Linked DNA regions of Mytilus edulis. The protein of the gene in region 1 purifies or fractionates together with the protein of each later gene. This does not show direct contact. Links are inferred from orthologs where the notes say so. Each region holds a gene or a part of one and is shown on either strand. Other genes may lie near its edges.

What was found.
Region 2: the proteins of ubiquitin carboxyl-terminal hydrolase 22-like (region 1) and histone acetyltransferase KAT2A-like purify together in Drosophila melanogaster (affinity purification with western blotting, with the first as the bait; 3 studies listed by BioGRID). This does not show direct contact. The link is inferred for Mytilus edulis from reciprocal best matches to the Drosophila melanogaster genes not and Gcn5.

The regions. Positions count from the first base shown.
Region 1 is NC_092352.1:75,861,636-75,872,718, forward strand, and holds the start of ubiquitin carboxyl-terminal hydrolase 22-like, read left to right. Parts: upstream 1-6,349; 5' UTR 6,350-6,439; coding exon 6,440-6,553; intron 6,554-8,244; coding exon 8,245-8,377; intron 8,378-8,716; coding exon 8,717-8,830; intron 8,831-9,264; coding exon 9,265-9,366; intron 9,367-9,881; coding exon 9,882-10,057; intron 10,058-10,322; coding exon 10,323-10,518; intron 10,519-11,083. Other genes in the region: dehydrogenase/reductase SDR family member 7B-like, read right to left, coding at 958-1,058, 3,674-3,832, 5,219-5,237. UniProt on the Drosophila melanogaster protein: Histone deubiquitinating component of the transcription regulatory histone acetylation (HAT) complex SAGA. Catalyzes the deubiquitination of histone H2B, thereby acting as a coactivator in a large subset of genes.
Region 2 is NC_092344.1:36,816,520-36,827,561, reverse strand, and holds the start of histone acetyltransferase KAT2A-like, read left to right. Parts: upstream 1-6,074; 5' UTR 6,075-6,132; coding exon 6,133-6,330; intron 6,331-10,344; coding exon 10,345-10,468; intron 10,469-11,042. Other genes in the region: pre-rRNA-processing protein TSR1 homolog, read right to left, coding at 4,708-4,819.

The DNA of each region.
Region 1 (11,083 bases):
GTCAAACGTGAAGCAGTCATCGATTTCATTTAGGGAAAGGAATGGTAACCTGAAACATTGGGATAGCCATTTACCAATTGCAATGTCACTTGATTTGTCTTTATACTCTGTGCTCAACCAATATAAAAGTATAAACTTACCTGTAACTTACCTGTAAATCCAATTAGGAAAAAATATAAAATCGGTGCAAATGAAAAAATGAAATCGGCGCAAATGAAAGAATGAAAATTTTCAAAATCGGCGCAAATGTCATACGCCCGTATATTGGTGCAGCATGATTTTTAATTCAAGGTAGTGACATAATGCAAAAAGAGAAAAACATTTGTAAGGGTTCCGCGGAACCCAGTGTCTCGCCTACTCTTTCTGTTAATCGCAGGCTCAACAAAAATGAGGAAATAAATCAAATATTCCTGTTGATATTATCTTTAAATTGTAAGAAGCTTCTGTCCAAGTTTGGTAAAAATCCAGGATAGTTTATGAATCTCATACTGTTTAAAAACTTTTAACTGCAGACTAAATGTAATGTTAACTGGAAGAAAACTAAATTTCCTTCTAGATACTAGCTTTTGATTATAAACAAGCTTCTGTCCAAGTTTGGTACAAATCCAAAATAGTATAAGAAAGTTAAATTTAAAAAGCTTAACTACAGAGTGAATGTGTTGTTTCCTGGTAGAAAATCTAAGTCCATTTAAAAGTAAAATACGTAAAAAATGGAATTTTATTTTTACAAAATTTACTTCTGGATACTATCTTATGATCATAAACAAGCTTCTGTCCAAGTTTGGTACTAACCCAGGATAGTCTAAGAAAGTTATTAAAATTTTAAAAATTTTAACCACAGAGTGAATATTTGTGGATGCCTCTGCCGCCGCCAACGGTGGAATGTAGGATCGCTTAGTCTTGCTTTTTCGACTAAAGTTGAAGGCTTGACAAAAACACTTCAAGAAAAATTGTTACCTTAGCATTTGCCAATTCTTCTGTGAGAGCTCGTAAAGCTTCCTTGTTCCTTCCACATAATAAAACTCGACATTTTGCTTGATGAAAAGCTTTGGCACATGCTTAAAAACATAAAATGTATTTATCAATTAAAGTATTCCCTAAGATACACATTTTTTTTTCTATCAGTATAAAATTCACTGCGATTTAAACAAAAAATGAAAGGCAAACTAGCCATTTGGATTTATTACTTTTTTATCAGTCAGTATAATGAATGTTTCAAAACTAATTTGGTTAAAGCAAATCTGAGAATTTCATACCACTTTCAAAAAAAGCACAAATTCATTTTTTTTCCTTTCTATTCTTCCAGTTTCATTCAAAATCGAAACATCAATTAGACTTGCATTCTTAGCCTGCCCACCATTTAGTTGGTTTTGACAAGAAAGATATCTTTTGCACAAAATGTGTTCTCATCAAGGGAGATAATTAAACCTGATATATAACTGCATATACATGCAACTCAAAATTAACACTTAGTTATTTGAAACTACCAAAAAATTGAGAATATAAAGTATTTCCTTTTTCTTTTTTCTAAAATTCCTCAATCTAAATAATTTCCATAAAAAAAACATTATTTAATAGATTTATTTTTATCTAATTTGGCAAGAGAGAGTTGCTCTGCATACAATTAAAATGTATTAAGTTTTAAACCCAATATATCTTGAAAACCAGAATGGTGAGTTCTATTTTTTAAATTGAATTTTAAATCTATATTAATTTGGTTTATTCCTTGAATGCCATCATCTTCTGATCTACCGACAATTTACCTGAAAAATTATGTTGGCATTCGAGGAATAGGTACTAAATTTGTAGTAGTTATCACAACAAAAGTGCATGCTTATCAAAACAGTCACATTAATTAACAGATAGGTAAATTCCAGGTAGCTTAATCAAATGGTCAGTAATCCTTTTGCGCCAATTACTGTTTTTCAGGGGTATCATTTGCGCCAATTTTTGTTTTCCAAATGTAAGAAATGAATTCAAATGCATTAGACAGTCAATGTACAGAGAGAATAAAACGTATTGCTTTGCTGAATATTTAATAAAGATATACATAAAGAGAAGAAAATAGAAGCTTTTGCTGATTATGTTTTAGATACATATGTTGATGACACAGTTCTTTGTTCCTACCATACATATGGGATTTATTATTATAAGAATTATTATAAACTGTTTTATGCATTTCAACCTTCAATGTCTGTGTTTTTGGATATTAAAGTCAAGTTAAAAGCTACTACATACATTTAATGTGGAAGTATCCATGCAGCAGCAGTAAGAATAAGATATGTTTCAGAAAAGGAAACATTTTTAGTGTAAACTGCAGGTTCCAAGTCCGAATATAGGAGTAGGGAAGTAATTTTTCTTCTAATTGGCACAATTGTATGTTTTGTTTTTGGCGCATATGATACCATGTAATTTTAAAACATGTGGCGCGAACGTAGCATTGGAGAAAAAAGTTGTGGCGCAAAAGGACGCATCTCTCCCATCAAATGCATGTTTGTCAAATTGTTGAAAATTATTTTTTGCTGTTACTGTTTGAACCAATATGATCTTCTCTTAAAATAAAACTTTGAAAGACTCTTTGGACTTTGATGCATTTTTCAATATTTCTATAGTTGTGTGTGCTGTAATACATCCTCCCATATTATTTGATGGAATTTCTTGAAACTTTATTTCTTGTTTTAGATTACAATACATGTAGTTTATTTTGTCCAGTTGTTCATCATATTTTTCTTGGTTATAATATTGCACCCTTCTTTATATATTGTTCAGGTGTTAGTTCTGTTGACAACTCATTGGAATTCTTGCTACCCTATGTTATGGATTTTCTTGATTTTTTTTTTAGAGTTGTGGAAAAATGCACTACATATGTGATTGGATAACAATTTTTATATAATTCCTAAAGCAATTTTCACATTTTAGTCCATTACAAGTATTAAGTTTAATTAATTGTTCAATTGAAAAGTTCATATAGTTCATATCAACTAATAAATTATTTAAAATGATATGGAATTAAATAAATCTCTAATATCCTTTTATTAGTTTGAAATTATTGTATTTAGCTAGAATTTCTTTAATATTTCTGATGTGTCTATGTTAATATTCATTTCCATTCCAAAACATTTATTTTCAATATAAAGTAAAAAAAAATTGAAATAAACTCATCATAGATACCAGGGTTTAATTTTGTATTTACATTTTCTTTATTTCTTTTAAATTCATAATTATAGTTCTAACCCCAAAATCTACTATTTTTTCCTTATCAAAAAGTAATAAAATGTTGCAATTTTATCTTAACTTAATTTTAGCTCTTTACCCAAAAACTTATTGTATATGAATTCTAGCTTCTCTACATTTAAAAATATGAATAGTAAAAGTCAAGGACTTGAAAACATTACTATAATCTTTTGAAAAGTTTAGATTTTCCCTTTTATTTGTGTTGTCAATGGTTGTTGCAATATATATATATATATATATATATATTATTTTAAGGGTCTTATCCTATTTCAGGAAAAATATTAACATAAAAGTTTTTAAAGCCTTAAAATTCAGACCAAAAATATTTTGTTGAACTTGCAACATAAGAATGGGAGATAACTCTTGAACTTTTGTTTATCATTTTAAAGACCAAGAAGCTGTGTTAAAATGATCTGATATTTTACAGTAAAATAATTACCTTTCCCAAGACCTGAGTTTGCTCCTGTAATTAGGACAACTTTTCCCTGGATGTTCTTCTTTTTCTTGTATGACATCATCATGTACAAAAATACCAGAAATCCCAAAGGAAATCCTATGTAGCTCCCTATAGTATTCAGTGACATTATTTTATAATAAGCTAAAAAATAGAAAAGGATAAAAAAGTGTCAAGATTAGAGTAATGTTAAATAACACTTTGATTGTATAGATATAAATGTTGAATATTTTATTCACAAATTATAATGTATTAAAATTCAGGTGGTACAAAACACCTCGACTAAAATTTATGCGCTTCTTTTAATTTTCATAAAATTTTAACAAAATATAAACATTGACCATTTGACAAAAATATAAAAAATTTCAAAAAACTTGTACCACACACTTCATTGGATATATAAAGCAGTTTGACAAACACTAATTTTTATCATTGAGAAGCCTTATACATCCTTACCAATGGATAGTGATTAAAATGTTCAGCTGATTTTTACTGAGTTATCTCCCTGTAGTGTTATGTACACCTTAAGGATGTCATCAAATAATCAAATGCCCAAGATTAAGATGTTTTTACAATAACAGTTTAATTTCAGAACATTCAATGAACCTTTTGCAAAGAATACAATATTTTGGATAAGTCATCATAATGGAAGCATTTATTAGAAAATTCAAGATTTTTCCTTTTCTTCATGTCATAGCAAACTATACATTGCATGGATGTTGACATATTTTGGGACACATCTGAACCTAAAGGTGTTTTCTTCTCACTGAATCCGAACATAAAAGAATTTTGTACTTCTCATCATAATGGTTTTTTTTTATCTCTTGCTACATTTAGATAAATAGATGTTCAACTGTGAAACACAATTTACATGATTTAAAGCAATTAATTGTACCAAAGTTGAATTAAAACACAGAATTTCTAGGATGTAATTAGTGTCCTTTTGTTAGTCTGTTGGTCTTTTTCTTTTTTAGCCATGTGGTTCTCAGTTCATTTTTTACTTCTGAGTTTAAATGTCCCTCTGGTATCTTTCGCCTCTTCTTTATCTTGTCATAGCCATTGAAAGCTCACTATACAGTATGGGTTTTCTCATTGTTGAAGGTCATACTGTGAGAAATAATTGATTATGGCCTCATCATTTGAACTCTGTTGGAAAGTTGTCTCTTTGGCATTCATATAACATCTTATTTATAAATTGTACATAACTCTTAGTTTTTCTATGCTGTTGGGTTTCTGTCTCATAAAGAGGTACTTCATGGTTCCTTTAATTCATCATTTGTTTATATCAAAAAACATTTTTCTTATTATAGTGACATGCATGTGCACGTATCTAATAGCAGTTTAACAAAAAACAAATATATATATATATATATGTTATAGAAACAATAAAATACACCCAACACTTTGAGCCTATAAGTCATTTTCAAAATCATCATTTTCATGATAATGTTTTACTTTTATCATGGATTCTAATCATGAATACATGGATGCTCATAATAAAAAATATAAAAAATAAAAACAATTACTTACACTTCAAATTTGGTTGCATGAAAACTTATTTGATCTTTTACATTATTACGCCATCACCATTTTCTAAGCATCTTGCCTTTTAAATACAACGTATCACAAATCTGTCAAAATTTAAAAAAATTACAAAGTTATTTTAATGTTCCCTTTATTGCAGGAAATAATCCTTAGTGAATTAGTACTGTGATTGAGTACTGGGAAATACATTAGGGGGGGGGGGGGTTAGGAGGGGTCCTGATCCCGAAATCCTGGGCTTAAAAACACGAAATTCCGAAATCCCGGGCTTAAGAATACGAAATCCTGAGGTCCCGAAATTCGAAAAAAAGAAATCCCGGATCCCGAAAGGGTCAATCCGGAAATCCCGAGCTTAAAAACACCCAATCCCGGAGTCCGGATAAAGGTCCAATACCCCACCCATACATGTAATTAGAAAAAAGTTGACAATTTTAATTGTATATGTCATAAAGAAAAAAATGAAATTGCTGTGACCTGATTTCTAACAAGGGATGAAGAGGATATTTAACAGTGCAATGTAGGTATAAAGAAATTGGATATCATACGCTTCTAGTAGACTTTCAAATTAACGCACATTAGGACTCCCCACTTTTTAAGTCACAATGCTAAAAGTCATTAAAAATCTATGTTTGGTTTATTCACAGATATCGGAAAATTTCATAAGAAATATGGGCATCTCAGGCTTCATTGTTGCTGGACAATCTTTGAGATGGCTAGATACCTTATTATTGATACTGATAGAATTTCTGATTCCTGAGGTTTATGAATTTTGAAGTGCTTTTTTCATATACTATCAACTACCAAATTGATCAAAGCACATTTTCTTAAAAGGTAATGGCTACATAGGCTCATAGTTTACAAAATACTGAGTATGTTATTTTTGTGTTGTCAAGTTGCTGTCAAATAATAATTTATCAGTACGATTTTGTCCTTTCCAAAATTGAAGCAAGATTGCAACATTATGTTATTCAAATCAACGGATAAATTAAAGACAAAAACTATTAAAAAAGCATGGTTTATGTGGATCAACACTGCTTTTTCACAGAAAGAATGTATTGTTTACATTTTGTACCTTGCACATGGGATGAAACGGAAGCGGAAATTTCAAACGGTATGCGCAAATGATTACTAAAACAAGGAAGACTGCGCACCAATCTTTGTTGTTTTGTGCAAGGAAACAAATGAAAATGAAATAGGTGTTGGTCGACTATGTCGATTTGTGAACATTTAAATGACTATAAATCAATTCATGGAACAAATGCATATCGATTAATCCATGCATATTTCGTAGCTTGCCCGTCGGCTGAAGCCAGGCGACGAAAGGTGACTAAAAAATTATATCCCCCATCGACTGAAATGAGATCATTTATAAATTATATCCTGCAAAAAAATCTCCCCATACCTACAACAACTGAATCGAATCATCTTTCATAAAAAGGAATAATATGGTTTTATACAATAAAGGCTATTCTTCTGAAAATGTTAAATGGATGGATGGGGTCTTTCATTTCTGTTGTTTATTTAATTTTTTTCTAAGCTAGTTGGTGTTAAACAATATTTTTGATTTCTCCAAAACATATTGATAAGTTTCTGCAAAATGTTAAAATATGAGGGTTATAATGGGGGTACCTTCATGAAGAATAATGACAAAAATTTCTGCTAAATGATGTTAACCGTAAATTTTGGTACATGATGATATATTGTACACTTTCTTTTGGTCGACAAAAATCAACTGATTTTGACGAATCAAGATAATTGTTTTCCAAAAATAGCGGTAAAGATAATTATTATTACAAACCTGGACGAATCAGAAAAATTTGAAGTATCACGATCAGGATATTTTGATGAATCATGGTAAAATGTAAATCAATTTGTTGCTACGGTAACCGAAAATGACTGTTTGACGACTGAAGTTAAAGGGCATTAATACGGTTAAATAACATTATATGACAAAAATTAGTAAATGAATAGAACGCAATGCTCCAAAAGTAAAATAGACCACTTTCGATTTCAGACACTGTAACTTTCCATGAACATTTCCTATCTTGATGCTTTCTTGTTGGCATCACTGTAAGAATCACTTTCACAATACGGTGAATTACACAGATTTACTCTAGGTCATACAGTGTTACAACTCATTGATAAAAAAAAACATCTTGAGATCAGTGTATATATTAATAGAAATGTTAACAATAACACAGACACAAACAAAACAGAAAACAAAATTATAGAATAAAAGAAAATGCTCACAGTTACTACAACAAAGCTCCAAATAATCAGCCTGCTATTGTTAATTGTATTTTTATAAAAAGTAAAATAATAAAAATATTGAACTTCTACTAGGAAAATTCAGAAACCCCCATCATCAAATCGCAAAATCAAAAGCTCTAACAAGTCAAACCAAATCAACTGTCTAATTCCTGACTTGGTACAGGCATTTCCTTGTGTTGAAAATGGTGTATTAAGTGTGTTTTTTTAGCTAGCTAATATAAACCCCTCACTTGTTTGACAGTCAAAAAAAAAATCCATTATGTATGTATCTTGACAACAATGTGTAAACAAAACACAGACATTATTAATAATGATAGGTATAGAAGTCAAGAATAGGTGTACAACAGTAAAAATTGTATTGTATTACTTTTATCACAATCAAACAAACAATATACGTCAACAAAAACAAAAAAATGTCATAAGACAAAGCACAGAATACAAAAAAATGACCATATAATAAAACAAAAACACAATGGCCGGGATTAATAAATACTAAGCCATGCCAAATAGCAATTACAAAAATGGAATACAGTAAAAGTTTAGTACTTCATTCATTATTCATATAAATATTTCCTCATAAAAACGCTGATATAATTGAGAACCTGACCCTCATGTTTTACACATTATTTTTATTTTCACACTATCATGACTATATTTTAAATATTAGAATATCAGCATTATGTAATGCTTAGATTTGTTTCAGGGGTAACCCAAAGTGTGATTATTTTTTTTTATAACTTTAGGCTGCTTCCAATAGATGTCATACATGTCAGAAATATGCACTTAGGCTTCATGCCTGCTTACACTGTGTTTATTTTGGATGCTATAATGACAGGCATATTCATGGACATGCTGAAAGGAAGGGCCACCATCTGGGTAAATACATTATGCATAAATGGTAAAAGATTAGTTCTTACAAGTATTATTTTACATGTTTTAGGCAAGTTTAAAAGTCTCTTTAAAAGCAATTGAACAATTTACCTGTAAATAAAAAAAGAGGTGTAGTTTAAACGAAAATGGACCACTAGAAACACATACATAACAGGTTGACATATTAACACTAACATGTAACTGTCAACACATAAACCCAAGTATTTTAATCTGAATCGTGAAAGAATAATGTGATTGTGATTCTTTTGTTAATCAATTTAAGGAGAGATTTATATAAAGAGTATAATATATCTGTGATTATAAAATAACAACTTTTTTTTTCAGCTATGGATTTAAGTTATGGAACAGTATTCTGTTTTGCCTGTAATGATTACATGTACGACCCAGAATTAGAAACAATTTCTACCTCACAACATCAAAAATCTGCAAAGGCTCAAGGTACACAAAGTCAGATATACATCATCAATGTAGTTTTCTATATTCATCTGGTTCATAGTTTTCTTCATGAACGATCTCCAACATTTGATTTTATTGCTTGCAAAATCTTTACATTATCTGTTTTTTTATACAATAATCTTTTTTTCAAACTAGTGGGTCAGTTTACACATGGTTTGATTGACAACACTTAAAAAAATAACAAAAAAAACAGTTTAAACTTTCAGTAATAGTAATACATTTTAAAATATTTTGAAATTAAGTACAAATGTAATAGAAGTCTGAATCCTGATATTCTAAACAAAAACATTTTTGTTGGGTTAAGAGTTCCTTTGAGTGATCAGATTTATGAAGTTTGTATGTGTAAACTGCAACACTTGCATATTTTTGCAAGGGTACAGCTGATTCACCAATTTTATCACTTTTATTTATTTCAGGATTAAAACAACAGTTTATACGATGGGAACCTACTGATATTGAGAAGGAAATTCTATTACAGAATCCTAAAAGAAGGAAAGTAGAAACTACATCAACAATAGGTACATTACTGCAAAATTAACAAATTCAAATCAACAGCATAATGAATATATGGTACCCATCCATCCAGGGCATCCAAAAAATATTTTAGGCAAAAGGTCAGGTCAAAAAGATAGCAAAACATATTTTTTTCAACTGAATTATGTTAGAATGGCAACCCAAGTTAAATGTCTGTTTTAGGTTTGACGCAACAAGTCATTAATATAACTTATCTGCAAAGTCCAGAAAATACGACCACTTGTACTAGTACAAATTTAGAATGGGTCTGAATATTAAGTAAACAATAATAATCAGTCAATCAAATATAAGGCAATAGTATAATTAAAAGTATGGAATTAAACAAATATTTGAACTTGAAAAAATACAAAGATGAGACTTTATTAGAAAGACAAATAAAAAGGGTTACCATGCAAAACACTATTTATTTACAAAATAGGAATTGCATTTACAATTTTTTTTATCACTTTTCTAAATAAATGCTGTTACGCCAAATTAATCTGTTTGTTATCTGTTTCAGGTCTGCGAGGATTGATTAATTTAGGAAACACTTGTTTTATGAACTGCATTGTACAGGCATTGATTCACACACCCGTTTTGAGAGACTATTTTTTAGCTGATAAGCATGTTTGTGAAATGAAAGACGACGAAGCTCGGCAGTGCCTTGTTTGTGAAATGTCCAGACTTTTTCAAGAAGTAAGTGATGTTACCTTAAAATGCTTATTTTTTTTTTAACTCTTTATACATAAGTCAAATTCTGATTTTAACAAAGTAGTCTTTTAACACAATTCAAGTAGAAACCATGTCTCAAAAAATGCTTGTAATTGAAGATATTTATGAAGGAACAATTCCAAACAAATGTAATTTGTGAGACATTTGAAGATGTGATGTAACTTTTTTTTTCATAATTTCAATTTGAATAATTCAATATAAAAAAATTATGTTTTTTTTACATTCTTAGTTTTACTCTGGAGCCAGGGCTCCACATATTCCATTTCGACTTTTACACCTGGTGTGGACCAATGCTCGTCACTTGGCAGGATATGAGCAGCAGGATGCTCATGAATTCCTGATTGCAGCACTTGATGTGTTACACAGACATTGTAAAGGTTACTCCGCTAATCTATTGTTGTCTCACAGTCGACCAAGTATTCAAGGTAGGTGTCATGGTATTTCTGTCATGGCCTTCCACTGATTAAATTGGATTCAATTTCTATAGAAATCAGGTGAAAGTTTCAAATCTTTTATAAGGGCTATTCCATTAAAATGTATGTGACAGGGTAGGAAGGGAAGTTTAATTATTGAATGTGGGGCATGGATCTTTTGTCAGCATGCGTCTTTTAGCATTATGCAAAATTATCTAAAAATGTTCTTGGATGTAGGATATTTGGAAAGAAATTTCCTATCCTCCTAAAAAATTTTTTTTTAAAAGCCCTTATTGTCTTCTAGGGAAATTCATTATTGAAAGTAAATTTCAGATCAATGTTGGGTTATTCACACACAGTGTATTATGAACACTGTTGCCTTGCAACTGACATAGATGCATTTACTATAAATAGAATGTACTGATACATTTGAAATTAATTCTTCAATTTAAACAACCAAAAGGAATTAAATGTTAAAAATGTGTATGTGTTTTTTTGTGTATGTTAAGGAGGTAGACCTAGGTCAAGGGAAATAACTCTTAAAATCATCAGTACGTTTTTGTCAACCATTTTCAAA
Region 2 (11,042 bases), on another chromosome or scaffold:
GAATTCATTCTATATTTTTGTTGGATTTGAACTTTGTCTTTTATAATTTTTTACTTGTCCACGGGCAACCCAGACACAAATAATTACTAGTCAGGGTGTTCAAATGTACGAGTCGGGCGAGTCGGGCATAGCATTTCCACACCCCTGACACAATATTCATGCTTGATTCAGGTTTGAGTTTGAATTGTAATTAAATATTTGACAAATATTAGCTTTCTGACACAGAATTACTGTAGTCACCTCTCTCCAAATGTTTTTTTCAAGTCCTCCACCCTTTTTCCATTAAAATATTCTTTCCCTCAAGATATGGTCATAATTTCCATTCAAATTTTCATTGAAGATGCAACCATAATAATTACCCATTTAAATACATCATAAAAGTCTTAAATAGAAAATTAATATTCCTTAATCATGTTAATCAGCATAAATTTAATAGTAACTTCTTAAAGCAAATTAACAGCTAATCACCTCAAGAAAATACAATATTTCTACATAATGTTAAAGCAGTGTCTTGGAGGTAATCCAACATATTATGTTTGAATTACATTTGGATTACCTCCCTTACACTGCTTTAAAATTGTCTCAATTGTCCATTAACCAGAAAAACCCTTGTTTTCCCCCTACGGTTTGAGCCATAACCCCCCAAAGTCACACCTTTGTAGTATGAAAACTTGTGGTATAATTTCAGAGAGATTCATACACTTTAACACACAAGTTGTTGTCTGGAAACTACAAAAATGCTTATTTGGGCCCCTAATTCCTAAACAGTTGGGACCATAACCCCCAAAATCAATCCCAAACTTCTTTTAGTGGTTATAAACCTTGTGTCAAAATTTTATTGATGTCTATTTACCTATACTAAAGTTATTATCTGGAAACCATCTGTCTTCGGACGATGCTGACGACCACAAAGATAAAAGATACCAATATACAACCAAAATTGTATCTGCCCTTTAATAAGGTTGTTGTCTCTGACATATTTATCATTTCCATTCTCAAACAGACAGAACCTTTTTAAAATATATTACTCTTTATAAAATTATTAATGCCATATCATATATATATAATATACATGTCAGTATAATTACCAGACATTTTGTATCTGTAGTGATACATTTGTTGTACTTCTATAAAAAAAAATTATGTCTGAATAAGGTTAACATAAGAATTTTTAACAAATATATGATGCATAGTGGGCTGTCACTGTGACTGTCAAGAGATCTTTATACCTTTATACCTTTATACCTTTATCTTCGGGTCGTTAAATAAGCCAAAGGCTTCTACTGACCCCTCATCTTGGATTGTCGTATATGCATTTCTCTTCTCATAATTAATATATATATATATATAATATATATTAAACTTATAATAAAAAACACTTATTTGGGTGTGCGCAGCTGAACACTTAATTAACACGAACATATGAATTTATAAGGGTTCCAGTTTTCGCCATTTAGTGCAGACTTAAAATTATTTAGAGTCTTTGCCGTCACTGTTAAATCAGACAGGTTATTCCACTGATCCACTACTCTAATTGAAAAAGTATTTAGTCTATGTGTGGTCTTACACTGTTTTTTAAACAGTTTTAATGAGTGACCTCTTGTATTATTAGATGGTGCTAAAGTAAATAGCTTCATCCAGTCGATGTCATCTATACCATGCAACGATTTGTAGACTTGTATCATGTCATTCCTATCCCTACGATATTCCAAAGTTGGCAAACCCAATGAACGTAGCCTGTCTTCATAATTAAGATGACAAATATTTTTCACCAGTTTTGTGGCCCTCCTTTGTACAGATTCCAGTTTACGGATGTCTTTTTTAAGATACGGTGACCAGACGCATGTCGCATATTCAAGCAGCGGACGCACTATTGATTTATAAATAGTAAGAAACATATCTTGATCCATGTAATCAAAAGAATGATGAATAAGAGACAACACTCTCTGCGCTTTGTTGTAAATATCACTTATATGTTTTTCAAATTTCAAATTAGACTCGAAAGTTACTCCAAGATCCTTTTCTTCATTCACTGTAGATAATGCAATAAAATTTCCAGATTCATCCAACATGGTATAACGATATTTCAGGTCATTGTCAGGATTAATATGCAATACTTTACATTTAGCAGCATTAAATTTTAATTTCCACATATCTGACCATTCACATAATCTGTCCAAATTTTCCTGTAACTTACTTTGCTCATAATCTGACGAGACTTTAGAATAAACTTTACAATCATCAGCAAAAATTTTCACTATGCCCTCTACTACATCAGGAAGATCATTTATAAATGTTAAGAAAAGAACTGGTCCTAAAACACTTCCCTGAGGTACACCACTCACAACGTCTGACCATGTTGATGTTGTGTTATTTATACGAACACATTGCTTACGCCCAGATAGAAAACTTTTTATCCAATTTAAAATGCATCCCTTTATTCCAAGTTTTTCAAGTTTCAAAAATAAACGCTGATGCGGTACAGTATCAAACGCCTTTGAAAAGTCAAGGAAAATCGAGTCCAGTGGAAAACCACTATCAATTAATTCTGACCACTCATCCAGAACCTCTAGGAGTTGAGTAACACATGATCTACCAGGACGGAAGCCATATTGACTACTAGTAAAAAGATTGTTTGTAAGAATAAACTTCATAATATTGTCTCTAATAATGGATTCACATATCTTACATACCACTGACGTTAAGCTTACAGGTCTATAATTACCAGGTTTTAGTTTTTTCCCTTTCTTAAATATCGGTGATACTATGGCATTTTTCCAATCGTCTGGAACTTTCCCCTCTTTGATAGACTTATTAAAAATTAGAAACAATGGATAACAAATTGCATGTCTAACTTCATATAAAACTTTCGGATGGAGACCATCAGGTCCTGCAGATTTATCTGTCTTTAATTTATTAAGTTTCTTTATCACATCTTCCTGACAAATATTAATATCATTTAAATAATTGTTCGACACTGAATTAGTATCATAATCTTTCAAGTCCTCCGTTTGAGTAAAAACACTAGTAAAAAACTTATTTAAAACTTCAACTTTGTCAGCAGTACTGGATGCTAAAGTACCATCCGGTTTCTCAAGCGTACCTATTCCTGATCTAGTCTTGAGTTTACTGTTAACATAATTCCAAAACGACTTTACATTAGTCTTTGATTCTAAGGCCACTTTTTGTTCAAAACTAAGTTTGGCATTTTTAACAGTATTTGTACATTCATTGCGATCCTTCACATATTTGATATATGACAAATTATTTCTTGAATATTTATATTTTTTCCATGATTTACGTTTCTTGACAATTGCAGACTTAGTAGCTCTATCCATCCACAAAGGTCCCAGATAGCAAACATGTGTTGGGCCAATATTGGCATTCTGTTGGCAACATTGTTGGGCCAATGTTGGAAAACTGTGTTGGGCCAACGTCATTTTGCTCATCGGCCCTCAGTTGGCCCAACATGTTGGGTCTTTGTTGGCCCAACATCAGTATGCCAACAAGGTTAACTATTTGCCAACAATCTGCCAACAATGTCAACTATTTGCCAACAGTCTACCAACGTCGTCTGGTTCTAAAATTATGTTGGACCAATGTTGGTCGAACAGCAGTATGCCAACGATGGCTTCAGTCTGTCAAACATGTTATTTATGCATTTCATGTTATGTATTATGAAATATTTATCTCTTGTATATAATGTATAATATATTTGCAGGTCAATCTCGGCTGTCATGTGGAGAGTGTGATGTTACACTCGTGTCAAATGAGCAGCTGAGTTCAGTTGACAAGTTTAACAACTTGCAGAAACTATACTCAAATTTTATTTGTTTTTTTGGGCTGGTTTTAAGTATTTTTTGTTTGTGCATAAAATTATTCAATCATTAAGATAAATACATTTAAATGACTACACAGATTTGAAAATATTAGATAAAGAGAATGAAGAGCACATTTTTTGGTTTGCACTTTGAAATAATATCTAAAAAAAAATAAAAAAATCTGTGGTATAATACGGGGAGATAAGAACTTAATACGTTGGCATATTGTTGGCACCATGTTGGCTCATATCTCAATATTGTCATGAAATATCAATGATATGTTGGTTTTTTTTATAAATATACTGTTTTAAAAACTTTTGAATTATTCAAAATACTAAAAAATTTCTAGCTCTTGGCACAGACGGTTTAAAATAGTCCTATTTGGGAAGACTTTATTATTTTAATTTTTTACTAAGTCCTCAATGCCCTTCAAACACAATCTATAGTCTCTATGATAACATAGAATCATTCAAATAAAGTTCGAATAAAATTGGTTCAGTAGTTTCAGTCAGAAGATCTTACACTGAATCAATGGATAACGTAAGTCAAATATCGTTGGGCAAGCTACTTTAAAAATAACAGTTGGTAAGAAAATGTTGGGCCAACATTGGGTCAATAACACCAAAATGACAGTTGGTGGAAAGTCGTTGGGCCAACAAGGGGCCAATAGTGTCAAAATAACTGTTGGCTGAGTTTTGTTGGGCCAACAAGGGGCCAATAGTGTCAAAATAACTGTTGGCTGAGTTTTGTTGGGCCAACATCGGTTTCTTGTTGTGCTGCCAACGCCAACTATTTACCAACTGTGCCAACCAATCACCAATGTTGGCCCAACAAAGTATTGCTATCTGGGGTGGGCTTATAAATTTACGGTCATTTTTCTTCTTACCTTTTGTTTCTCTTTCTAATGAACCTTTGCTTCTATGTTTGCCATGTTTGTGTCCTTTATTTTGTTGTTTAAAAACGCCAGGTCTGTGGGTTTGCTGTGTATCTGCTGCCATTCTCAGCTTTTAAATGAATTAGAGTACCTGTCAACACTATGAACACGTGCTAATGGAATATTGATACTAAATTTAGAACATTTTAATGTTGTAAGGGGCTATAAATAAAAAAAATAGTACTAGACAGATTCATGTCACTAATAAAAACGTAAATAATGAGGACAAGCTTAAATGTAGCATGTGCCCTATCTGACAACCAAAACCAATATAAACAAAAACCTTCTTTGTTATAACAAAATGAATGCTTCTTTTTGTAACTTTATTATGGGGTGTAAAAGCATTGACCGAAGTACATTTTGTATGAAGCGCAGAAGTAAATTATGTTGACAGAGAGTAAAAAAACCTGAAAGATACCAAGATGAATATTTGTATATAACAAATTGTTTTCTTTCTCATTTTTTTTAAATTGTCAAAGAAGGGAAGGGAAAAAATATAGTTGTTTTAGAAGGGAAGGGAAAATTATTTTTTTCAGAATTGGAAAGCTTTATCTAATTCACATGTGGAAGAATTAAGGCATTACTGGGGTTAAGTCATAAAGTAAAGAAGTCCCATCTATTATTATTGCAGTTAAAAAATAATCTTAATTAGTTCATTATCGCACATCAACGTTGGGGGTATTATACAACTTGTCTTGAAGAGTTATTGTCCGTTATCGAGCCTGAGTTATCTTTCTTCTTTCGAAACCATTAACAAATGGCGGCCGAAATCTACGTGAATGACAGTCTCTATTTACATGTATTTTTGCCAAGAAAAGAAAAACTGAAACGGTTTTTGAAAGAAAATAAAAGGTTATGGACGCTCAACCTATGATATTTATCTACATTAAATCAAAATTTGATCGCACAATCGTTACGGTTCCCGAGTTTTCAATGACCAAAACTACAAGGTCATTTTTGCTGAAGCACATGTCAAATTAATCCCGGTCAGGCAAAAGGCTCATGCAAATAAATTTTGGCCAGGGAGTCCCGCGAAAAAAATAAATTCAAAGAACTTTTCAAATCTAGAAAAAATATTCAAATAGAAGAAACATATCTGGAAAATAATAAGAGTCATATACTAATGTTATAGATTGCTGATAATATGGCCAACTTATGGATTTTTTTTTGTATAATATGTCTCTGGTATTATCAACACCAAAATTACTTCATTTCAGAAAATTGTGGTGCGTTACTGTAAAAAATATTTAGTTGTGTTTGGTTAGATCTTTTATGTTTCTGTTAGTTTGTTGTCATGGATAGTGATGTGAAGCTGCACAGTACTACTTATTTTCAATGTTACAAGCGTTTGCATAAAAAAATGAAACAAATAAAACAATGAGTGACGCAAATTCTAGCGATCCACTTCAAAATGGAACAGATTTACAGCAAACAAATAAAGGTCCTACACAGTCTACGACAGGCGAAATGTCTAGACCGAACAATCTACAAAGAATTGCACAAAAGAAAGCTATGGTTCGGGGATACCCCAGGAACAAAAAATTGGAAAAGCTAGCTGTTTATTCGTCTTGCAAGGTCCGTTTATGATTTTTAAATTCAATGCTTCATGTATACCGATTGGGACGGAATGTCAAAATATATAGATTAAATGAGGGTTTGGATTTAGGGTCCTACATCTCTATACACCTTATGTCTGATAAAAGCTCTACAGAGCGTTTGTTGTATTGTTATACATTGTATGTACAAATGTATAACCGACTTTAAATAAATCTTTTATGCTTAATGCTTATTGCTAACCATGGCTGACCTGGCCGCTTGAATTTTTGACGTCGTACACAATCACTTTTCCATTGTAGCATCAGATATTTTGTTTTATGACCTCAAAATTTTACAGGAACCTGTGTTATATCCAGTAATGGCAGACAAAACGCGATAAGGTGTATTGCTTTTTGGGCCATTTTTCCACAGGCACATTGGAAGACCCACTATCAATGTATATTTACGATAAACGTTGATAGTGGGTCTTCCAATGAATAGAAACAAGTGCCTGTGCATTTTTCTCTATTTATGATTATTTCATTTGTTACTAATATAATTTCTCTCTGATCATTCATGCTGATTGCGATGGCAAATATAGGCAAGATGCAAGAATTGTTGTCCATATGATGTATCGGCCATGTCATGTCGTACTAATTTCAAAACGTAGAAATTTATACTGCAAAAGGTTTACTTTTTATGTTCAACGGAAGGCTATTTGGAAGCTGTGAGGTCATTAAAACAATTTGAACTCCCGATTTCTATTATGTAATCGAAGTCTTAAATGTTGTTCCATCTAATCAACGTGGTTTTAAAATCAGATCGCAATGCATGAATAGCCTAGGGAAAACACTGCATGAAACAAATTCTATATAAAGTATATAGATATTATATATGACGCCCACTAGCAAAAAGGACCCTTATTATGCTTATAGCAAACATTATTTAACATGAGGCAGGCATAACCTTTGAAAGGGGACGAAGTCTGTATGAATTATTTTTTTTAATTCAAACATATTTTATTTTAAAATCTATTAAAAAGAAATGGAAATACCATAACGTTTCCGATTTGGTTCTGTTGTTTTACATTTTAGTTGTGACGTTATTTAAGTGATGACGTCATATATTCAATGTAAAAAAAAAGAAACACAAGCATCAGGAAAAAATTTCTCATATCAAAGAATTATTGAAAATGAAATTGGTATTTTGATCATTCCTATATTTTACTAGACTGATAAACATATAATTTACTCAAAGTCTCATGACAAATGAGATGAAAATAAAAAAAGTCTGAAAAAAAAGTTAATGCTTTTGAGTTCATAAGAAGCAAGAGTTTTTTTCAGGATTTTTTTTTTTAATTTTTCTAATGTAATAGTTGACTTTGTCCCATTATTATCAAATTTTGTATTTCCTAAACAAATAATACTTATCATCAAGTTATGTCAACTCAAAGCAAAAAAATTGATCATTGATAAACTAGCTATGTAATTTTAATCTTGACTTATTTCATGGATCAGTGAACAATGTTAAGATTTTGGGGTCAAGTCCATATCTCAGATACTAAAAGCAATAGGTCTTTTATATTTGGTGTAGGGAAGAATTGTAAGGTGTACATGTACATTGTACTGTCCAACTGGCAGGTTTCATCTGACCTTGAACTCATTTTCATGGTTCAGTGGTTATAGTTAATTTTTATACGACCGCAAAATTTGAAAAATTTTTCGTCGTATATTGCTATCACGTTGGCGTCGGCGTCGGCGTCGTCGTCCGGCGTCCGAATACTTTCAGTTTTCGCACTCTAACTTTAGTAAAAGTGAATGGAAATCTATGAAATTTTGACACAAGGTTTATGACCACAAAAGGAAGGTTGGTATTGATTTTGGGAGTTTTGGTCCCAACATTTTAGGAATTGGGGGCCAAAAAGGGCCCAAATAAGCATTTTCTTGGTTTTCGCACTATAACTTTAGTTTAAGTTTATAGAAATCTATGAAATTTTGACACAAGGTTTATGACCACAAAAGAACGGTTGGGATTGATTTTGGGAGTTTAGGTTTCAACAGTTTAGGAATTAGGGGCCAAAAAAGGGCCCAAATAAGCATTATTCTTGGTTTTCGCACAATAACTTTAGTTTAAGTAAATAGAAATCAATGAAATTTAAACACAATGTTAATGACTACAAAAGGAAGGTTGGTATTGATTTTGGGAGTTTAGGTCCCAACAGTTTAGGAATTAGGGGCCAAAAAGGGACCCAAATAAGCATTTTTCTTGGTTTTCGCACCATAACGTTAGTATAAGTAAATAGAAATCTATGAAATTTAAACACAAGGTTTATGACCATAAAAGGAAGGTTGGTATTGATTTTGGGAGTTTTGGTCCCAACAGAATAAGGGGCCCAAAGGGTCCAAAATTAAACTTTGTTTGATTTCATCAAAATTGAATAATTGGGGTTCTTTGATATGCCGAATCTAACTGTCATGACTGTGTATGTAGATTCTTAACTTTTGGTCCCGTTTTCAAATTGGTCTACATTAAGGTCCAAAGGGTCCAAAATTAAACTTAGTTTGATTTTGACAAAAAATGAATCAGTTAGGTTCTTTGATATGCTGAATCTAAAAATGTACTTAGATTCTTGATTATTGGCCCAGTTTTCAAGTTGGTCCAAATCGGGGTCCAAAATTAAACTTTGTTTGATTTCATCAAAAATTGAATAAATGGGGTTCTTTAATATACCAAATCTAACTGTGTATGTAGATTCTTCATTTTTGGTCCTGTTTTCAAATTGGTCTACACTAAAGTCCAAAGGGTCCAAAATTAAACTTAGTCTGATTTCAACAAAAATTGAAATCTTGGGGTTCTTTGATATGCTGAATCCAAAAATGTACTTAGATTTTTTATTATGGGCCCAGTTTTCAAGTTGGTCCAAATCAGGATCTAAAATTATTATATTAAGTGTTGTGCAATAGCAAGTCTTTTCAATTGCACAGTATTGCGCAATGGCAAGAAATATCTAATTGCACAATATTGTGAAATAGCAAATTTTTTTTTAATTAGAGTTATCTTTCTTTGTCCAGAATAGTAAGCAAGAAATATCTAATTGCAAAATATTGTGCAATAGCAAGATTTTTTTTTAATTGGAGTTATCTTTCTTTGTCCAGAATCAACTTAAATCTTTGTTATATACAATATACAATGTATATTCACTTTTTACTACCAACTGATAAATTATAATAAATAACATTCAGTGATAACAAGCAGTTTTTTTTACATCTTAATATTTTATGATGTATTTAAATGAGTAGTTATTGTTGCAAACTCCATTAGAAATATTAATTGAGATTAGTTTTGGAATAAGGGAAAGGGGGATGTGATTAAAAAAATTGGGTTCAATTTTTCTCATTTGAAATTTCATAAATAAAAAAGAAAATTTCTTCAAACATTTTTATGTTTTCTGGTCTGTGCGTCCGTCCGTCCGTCTGTCCGTTCGTCCGTCCGTTCGTCCGTCCGTCTGTCCCGCTTCAGGTTAAAGTTTTTGGTCAAGGTAGTTTTTGATGAAGTTTAAGTCCAATCGACTTCAAACTTAGTACACATGTCCCCTATGATATGATCTTTCTAATTTTAATGCCAAATTAGAGTTTTTACCCCAATTTCACGGTCCACTGAACATGGAAAATGATAGTGCGAGTGGGGCATTCGTGTACTGAGGACACATTCTTGTTTTGAGAGGATTAATATTCAACAGCATAGTGAATTGCTCTAAGAGAAAACAAAAATTTTAAGTTCATTAGAACACATTCATTCTGTGTCAGAAACCTATGCTGTGTCAACTATTTAATCACAATCCAAATTTAGAGCTGAATCCAGCTTGAATGTTGTGTCCATACTTGCCCCAACCGTTCAGGGTTCAACCTCTGCGGTCGTATAAAGCTACGCCCTGCGGAGCATCTGGTTTGTGTTTTGGACTGTTTTTGGTTTACTGTACACAAAGAATTGTTAGTAAAGAAGGCAAGACATTTCAGCATGTGCACTTTTGTATAAATATGGTTTTATTTGCAGTCTGAATCCTGTAAATGTAATGGCTGGAAGAACCCCAATCCACCACCAACCCCACCAAGAGTGGATGTGTCACAACCTCTGGCCAGTCTGACAGATCCATGCAGGAGTTGTGGACACACATTAGGTAAGTTTCTTTATATTAACATGTATAAACTATTGAAACTAATGTTAGCTTTTATTTTCAACTATAAAAATATGATTAAGGTTACTAATGTTGCGACCACTATTACCCCTGTGTAATTGACATGTAAAGATTGTACAATGCATATATGTAGTTGCACATTCAGCAAGCGACTACTCTTTCAAGCCTAGTTCTAACTAATTCCCGCATTATGATATTTTGAATTATTGCATCAACAGACAATCAGACTTTTTCTAACTGTGACATACATTTTATATTATTATTTTCTAATTAGACAGATTTCTAATTAGACAGATATCAAAACAGTATTAGTTGATACACAACCAATAGTAAAAAAGTCAGAAAAAGGGCAATTTTACGTGTGAATGTCATTGAAAAAATGGGCAATTTAACGTGTACATTTATATCATTATTTAAGCCTTATCATTTATTAGCACATAATATTTATTATGCATTATTGAAACATCAAGTTTCAGTTAAAATGAAGTTACATTGTATGTAATTTTCACATGAATTTCTCTGTTATTAAGAGGAAAAAGATAATTACATTAATATA